Linked DNA regions of Drosophila melanogaster. The protein of the gene in region 2 interacts with the protein of the main gene of each other region in a pairwise test. Each region holds a gene or a part of one and is shown on either strand. Other genes may lie near its edges.

Region 1 (3,926 bases), on a different chromosome or scaffold from region 2:
TTTTGCAGCACAGGCACACTCGAGTCCACAATGAGACGGTGGTCGACTAGAAGTAACATGAAGACCACCAGAGGACTGAAGTTGGGACGATGTGTGAGTATTTGAATCATTGTGTTTCTACAAGTAATGGTAACTCCTGGAATGAAAACAATTGGCATTAATTAGTTGAGTAATACGCTGAAAAAGTGCACATTTACTTTAAGTATGATTTAAAAAGCATCCTTCTCAAACTTTCATACCAGTAATTTGTTTTTATTTCGCGTGCAATTTCCAGGAGCAAGTTGGCTCAACTAGAATGGGCTACATACAGGGGATGGCTTTGTGCCCACGGACAAACCCAAACGATGCGGACATGGATAACATATAATGCTGGGCCTACGGATGAGCATAAATGTACATATTCCCAAACCCCAAACTTTCTGGCACAAGTACAGACATAAAGCCTTTTTGTTAGCTTGTGCAAGTAAATTGCACCGTTGCAAAAATGCCAAATTCCGGCCCATTTGTGTGGCGCGGCCAAAACCAATGTAGATTCGGTGCTATGGAGAACTTGTCCGGCAAAAGCCGAAAATAAAAAACTTCTGCACTCGATGCGGTGACGCTGGGCCTGAACTGTGCATTGTTGGCTAACACCTACTATAATTTATGGCCGACTTGTAGCCCCCAAAGCACTAGGAGAGCTATCTCGACCAGACTGCAGACTATCCGTGGGCTTACCTCATGCCCACCGAAATATATAGATACTCCACCACATAATCTGTCACATAAAAAGGCATATTGACCAAAAATGAACACAATTATTTTTCATCTTGATTTATCCATACCTGTTGCAGTTCTACATGCAATTTGTTTACACTCAACAAGCTAAATATTAGGGCCGAATTCTATATTGTTTATGAGCTATATGCATCTATATTATACATCGCTTTGAGCGAGCTTTTAATTAGTCAACGTATGTGTTTTCTGAATGAGAGTCGCGAAGCAACTGACGCATGCTGGTTCGGTTCGTAGAATTCGTGCTTGACCTAAGATCTTATCAGTACCACTCAATTCTCTTATCGAACTGTTGTGGAAACAAACATGCTCTTATCAGTTTAGCTTTGAGCTCATTCAGTGTGTCAAAACAATAGGCTTTTCACTCGAATATTTAATGGGCACTGTAGAATGTGAATTATTGATGCGTAAACGATGCAAAAATGTTTCTCAAACTTAAAACACTTGCTTTTGCTGATAATACATATCTGCTTACTTATTCATCAAGCTGAGTGAGATATATATATCAAACACATTATGCTCGACCGAATAATGACATCCCACTCTGCCGGTCGCCAATAGACTGAAAGCATGAGCTCTGCTCACCTGCTTTTTTTTTTTGGTTTTTTATACCTTTCGTATATTGGAAGTTTTGAAGATGTTCAAGATCTTTGAATGTGTCTTAAGAGAGGTTTTGACCTTTTTTCGCGGGAAAAATCCGCGTGACGCATTCGAGTTTACAATGCATTTGGGCAAGCAAATAACTATACTGGCACTTAGGTAAATAAGCAGTCGCGGAAAAGCTTTGTTGAGTTGTTTTTGAACTTCCGCGGCGTTTCCATTGACGACGCTGCTACTGCAATCGACCCCATATATCCACCAGATATCGGATGGTCGCTAAACAGATAAGCGCTTTGATTAATGAATGGGTCTCGGAGCACTAAGCTTTATTGTTCCGGGGAAATGGGGGAAATCCCAAGGCAATGCGTGATGAACTCGTGAGTGAGTGCTTTAGTAAGAGAAACATATGATTAGACTTGGTTTTTATATGTACAATATTTACATGAGAATGTTGGGCAATATGCAAGACGAAGCCTTAACGATTTTAAAATAATTACTTATTCTTATCAATGGCCGATTATGTGTCTAATTTGTATTCAAGTACACAATAATCTGCACCAACTACTGATAACTCAATTAATAATAATGCTCCGATCCACAAACACAATTCCAAGCGAGAGAGAGAGAGCAAAGAGAGGCTCTGAGCAAATGCGATCCACAAGAGAGCAAGTTCAAGTTCGTTTCTTGTGGCGGCTAAACAAGTTTTTCGTTTTTGAGAGCGCGAGTAAGCGGATATTTCGGGAGAGGTCTTTGGGACTGGGGCTGGGATCTATAGCTTCAGTTGTCTGTCCGCCGAGTGGTTCAACGCATCGCCGATCAAGTCCCACCGATCTGGGATCGCCCCATACGCAACCCGTGAAAGTTTGTGGATACCAGTTTCAGTGGCTTTGTGTACAATCTATATATGTGAAATTCAGCGAAAATCCCACCCTAAAATAAAAGTAATAATGGCTGCAAATGAAAATCAAATTTAAAATATATACTACGTGCAATTGGGTGACTCATTGTTACCAAAAAAAAAAAAAAAAACAGACGTGTGAATTCAATAATTAGCATATTGGAATGGCCTCTTTTGATGGCCCAATGTGGATATTTATATAATTAAATGATGAGCTTTTATTTTGTTGTCTTGCTATGGAGAGCAAGCACACCTCACCTAGGCGTTTTCTTCAGTTTCTAAACTTCCTTTTAAATTATTTGAATACACAAAGCATTCCCAAGCCGCTCTCTTTCGTCCCAATCTATCTGTCTTTTTCCGTGCGATCTTAAACTATGTGAGAGTGTGCACATACAGTTGCGGACAAAGATCTAAAGTCATACATAAAATATAAAGATAATTAAAGACAAGGTCGTCTTTATATATAATGCTCTATTAGAAGAGTAAACACCTACAATTTTTATAAATATTCCATTAAAATATAGTTTAACGTGTTTCAAGTTATGTGAAACTATTTGAATGTAGTTGACTCTTCTGGAGATTTTTCAAATATTTTCCTTTGTCAGTGTTGAGTGGCCTGTCGCTGCTATTGCTTTGACCGCTGCTGTTTGTACATGTATATTGGGGTTGTGCTCGGTTGCCCAGTTTGTTTTGCTATTGCGCCATGCACCCGATGCCGTATACGTCAAAAAGAGAAATCGCCGACCCGCTTCATGACGCGCAGCGTCTTAAGTTATATTTTCTTTTAGTTGGGCGTGATGTCTGCCCTTCACTTAAATATTTCAACAATCATATATTGTATGCTGGATCATTGCAACCAGTTGGCAGTGGCATTTGGCATGCAATATTTCCGGGCTAAAACAAACGACTGTTTCCTCTTTGTTAATTTAATAAAACCCATTTCTATGGCGGAATCTGCAGAATGCGGACGACACAAACTCCCACGCGTTTATATGTTTTTTCTTGTTTTCGATTTTTTTGAACACGTTGTGCAGCAGCTTTTAATTAAAATTTCATCACCTTGTCTCAGTCCTCGGACATCTGGCAGGCTGCCTTTTAGGCGGTTGATTGCGCAATGGTTTATCACCATCACAACCACGAAAGTCGGATAATACACTGCAGAAAACAATTAACTTCCTGGCGGAGAAGAAGCCTGCTGCTGACCATCATTGTGGTCACAGCCACAGTGGTTTCACTGATTTCACAAGAAGGTAAGTGTTATTAAGTGAATATTCTGTAGGGCCTGGTTACAACTGTAATTAAGCATACACATTATGTTGGCACCCTTCACACGTCCAACTATTGTAGATTATCTGTCAGATTGGCTATATGAGGGTATCGGGTCAATAGTCTCCGTCTATCGCGATGTCGCAACACGTTAATGACCACAATATTGATGCGTAATTGGCGCCCGAAACAATGCGAATCGCTCTTGAAGTCCCACAATGGTCCAATTGTCCCCGTGGGCGAGAAAAACAAATGAAATTGAGCTCCAGTACATTTAGCCTTGACCGTGAATGCTCCACCAGATTGCTGGGCGACATTTTGGCGAAGGCGTTTAATACCCGGTGTTTGAACTCTTAATTCGACTAATGGGCCAGGAAATAGATTGAAT
Region 2 (3,926 bases):
TGCTGACCTTGAAGTCGCGCACAGCGGATTAAAGGATTAGCCCCCAAAGCGGCATATTCCCCATTTCCTTGCCACCTTGTCCCCACAACTTCCATTTCGCAAAACGAGAAGCGTGTACGCAAACAAACGGGCCGTTGAAAAGGTGGCTCCAAGCGGAGGAGCAGCCACCACACGATCTCTGGCATTATCACACTTCAACAAAAGCTAACAAGACGCAGGAAGACTCCAGGAGCGAAGTGCTCTGAATTCGGGAATGGTTGAGTTATTGATTTATTTAAACATCTTACTAAGGATGATTTTAAAAAGAGTTTGTTTAATAAAAAAAAGTTTTAGTTTTCTTTACTCTGACGATATGATTTTCTTTATCTGATTCACAAATCCGCTTCTGATCATCAAGGAACATGAACGGACGCGTCTGCAAAAAAGGGAAACAAAGCTAAGGCGACAAATGCTCGTGCGACAACAACAATTGGCTGGATCTCCTGATCAACTCTTCCTCCTCACCGTCTCCTGACGCCCCCCACCCCCCACGCGCTTTAATCAAGCAGAGCCGCTACAAAAACAGGAGCGGAGTGCGGGGGCATGGGCGAACGGAGCGTAAAAAGAGAGGGCGAGAGAATCAGAATCTTCAGCGCAACGCGCATGGCCATAAGTAATAAAATAAACACGGACCGAGGCACAGAAAGGAAAAAAAGGATGGCAAAAAGGCAGAAGGCGCAATGTGTACATAAATCTTTTTGGTGGAGCGAGAGGCCCAAAGACCTGGGCTATAAGCACATCAATATACATACATATAGTATATATGTATATATACATATAGCGGGCGTGGCCTGGCAACTCGTTTTTGACTTTGAATTTCGCCACGCAAATGGTCGCGCTTAGTTTGTATTCTTCTTTGCATTTAATTTTTGTTTATTGTCGCGCTTTTTCTAGTGGAAGAGGAAGACTGGAGAATCTGCGACCTTAGCAAGAATTTCAGTCTAATTTGAAATCAATTTTTGAGTTACTTTATATTCCAAAAAGATTGATTTTTAATTTAAAATAAGTTAAGCAACTATGTAAACGATATTTTTTTAGCAGTACTTCTATTTGTTATTATTACAACAACAAAAAATTTCGTGTAATTAGTTTCTATTGTGACTTTAAGCTAAAGTCGCCATAAGCTGATTAATAAAATCAGCACAGCATAATTATTTATATTAACTTTGATTTGTTTTTTTTTGCGTTGCACGATGCCTTAAAATGAAATGCATTCAGAAAATGCAAAAGCAAGGGCGTCTGATTAGAATGCGTCGAGCACAGAGTTCGCCTTTCTTATCAGAATACAATAGTTTCAAGCGCAGCTTGCTGGGCAATTGAATAAATGCTGATAAGACAAAGAACAAAAGAAGTATGTATGTAATTCGATAGCGATAAAAAGGGGACGGAAAGGAGGAATAAAATTGATAACTGTGCCAGTTCACCAGCTTACCACAAGTGCCGTTGATTGAGCAATTTGAAGCAATGACCCGACCGCATAGCAACAACAATAACAGCAAGTACAACAACAACACCAGCAGCGCACACCACTAACAAATCACAATTCTCCAATTGGAGGGGGCAGACGCAACGGGTAACGCAACAATAACAAAACACTTTCGTTTGCGCGGCGACGAGAGTAAATACGAAATATCAACCGACCGGCTTGTTCAGCATTTGCATACTGCGAAAAAATCTTTATAAACAATATATAACGCAGGCACAGCTGAGACGCTCACACAGACGAGCAGACACCCGCACACACCTGCACGCAATTTTGGAGAGCGGGAGAGGAGCAACAGGCGCAACGTAGGATTCCTGGAATTCCTTACTTAGCGGCGCCCATGGCAGTTGCACTCGCGATCCTACGCTTTAACTAGAATCTTTTCCGTTTATTCACGTGGCAGCTGTATCTATGTTTGATTGGTTTGTTTACACTAATTAACTGTAATTAAATAGTAACGATTTAATACGAAACTAAACGCGCCGCCGCAACTTCTTTGCAGTGTGACCGCACTTCGAGTGGGGAGATACACCGATATGAAAATAACTACTCTTAAAATACCAGAAGAATACAAAATACCACACATACTGCCTTTTATTTTATTTTCCCGCGTATTTCAATATTTCAAAAAAATAACTAGTGATTTTAATTATTTCTTCGTTCCAAAATTAAACAAGCAATGTGACGAAACTTTATATATTTAAAGCGCAATATACTAAAGGAAGACGACTTGGTATAGTTACTTTTTTTAGATTACTAACAATTTAGAACCATTGCCGCGCAATTTTATTCAAATCAATTATTTTTTATTTGAAAAAATACTGTACTTAAGTACTTAACTAGCTAGAATTCGTTACACTTTATCAGGCCTACAAAAATAGAGTTTAGAGTTAAAAGAGTTTTGGTAATGCACGACAGCGGAGTAAGTTCGACACAAAATGCTAGTTAATATTGGGAATGAGATGCCCTCCAAGTCCACATCACTTTTCCTTCTTCTGTATGGAGGCAATCCGCCAGGCGCCCACCAAATATCGCACCCAGATCATGAACAAATCCCTGCCCATTTGCAGCCACGACCAAAATGGTGTCAGTTTCGAACCATCGATCTCCGTCCATCGAACGGCAACCTCGGACATTGGTAGCTTCAAATTCTCAGCGAGGTACAGCAGCTCAACATCAAAGGCCCAGCGCTCCACATGCAGACTGGTGAAGAGTTTCCTGGCCGTCGTTCGGGTGAACAGCTTGAAGCCACACTGGGTATCGCGAATGGAGCGCACGGCAAACAGCCAGACGAGGAAATGAAAGCCGTGCATCAAAATTGTTCTGTGGCAACGCAGATCAGTATTTGGTCAGCTAATAAATGTAGGATTTTATCTTACCTGAAGAAACTCCTTGTTGCAATCGCATCGTTCTCCAGATGTGCTCTCGATCCAATGGCAATGCCATCGTCTCGCCATTCGGGAGCTAATTGCTTGAGGGCCACCTCCAGTTTATCGTAGTCGGGAAACTTGGTGGCTCCATCCGCATCAGCGAAGAGCAGATTACGACCCCGTGCACTTAGCATACCCATGCGAACGGCACCTCCTTTCCCACGATTTTCGATGAGTTCCAGCACGCGTACCTTTTCTGCTCCGTGCTTTTTCGAGTAACCCAAGGCGACGGATACGGTGGCATCCTGACTGCCGTCACTGACCACGATGACCTCGTATGTGAAATTGGGAGTGCCAGCAGATTTCTGTTCCAGAAAGGCCAAGCACTCGTCCAGCATAGAAGGCACTAAACGAGTATAAACACACACAAATGAGAACAAGAAAATCGAATAGCTTTTGGGGAAAGTAACTTAAAGTAACATGTTAGTGTAATGAAGTTTCTGTAGATAAATTCGGGTGCCAGACAATCAATCACAAATGGGCATAGATAAAATGTTGACTGTGATTCACCAAAACAAAAACAAATAAGCAACATACAGCGCTGCTCCTCATTGTAAGCTGGTACGATGACACTGAGCTCCAAACTTGGCGAGTCCTCGAGACTGGGAAAAGTCACTGTTTTAATGGTGTGCGGGTCCAGGAAGGTCTCCTCATCCTTGTGCCGCTTGATGTTGGGATAGGGCTTCGTCTTGTAGAGCACCAGAGCCGCAATCTAAACGATGGATTATCAGTAAAAATAAGAAAGATAGGCGAATGTATTCAAGATCTGACCGACAGCGCAGCGACTGCAAGCGTCGAGAGTAGATAGAAACAGAGCTGGCAGAGGCAGGTCCACATTGTAGGGCTTTTTTTAGCAACTAGTTTGTATGAACAGGTGCGCCTGCTACCTGCCAGCAGACATTACTTCTCCAATTTGTGCGAGATAAACAGAGCCACGTATTTAATTCCAAGAATTTTAGACCGAAATGCCGCAG

Evidence for each region.
Region 1: the proteins of Btk (region 2) and Cad96Ca interact in a two-hybrid assay, tested with the Drosophila melanogaster proteins (one study listed by BioGRID).

What each region holds. Positions count from the first base shown.
Region 1 is NT_033777.3:25,206,509-25,210,434, reverse strand, and holds the start of Cad96Ca (cadherin 96Ca), read left to right. Parts: upstream 1-2,151; 5' UTR 2,152-2,315; intron 2,316-3,341; 5' UTR 3,342-3,386; coding exon 3,387-3,522; intron 3,523-3,926. Other genes in the region: CG13654 (uncharacterized protein), read right to left, coding at 1-136.
Region 2 is NT_033779.5:8,299,035-8,302,960, forward strand, and holds the start of Btk (bruton tyrosine kinase), read right to left. Parts: upstream 1,713-3,926; 5' UTR 1,472-1,712; intron 1-1,471. Other genes in the region: wol (wollknaeuel), read right to left, coding at 2,503-2,845, 2,902-3,298, 3,490-3,664, 3,724-3,789. UniProt on the Drosophila melanogaster protein: Required for proper ring canal development. Also required for the development of male genitalia and for adult survival.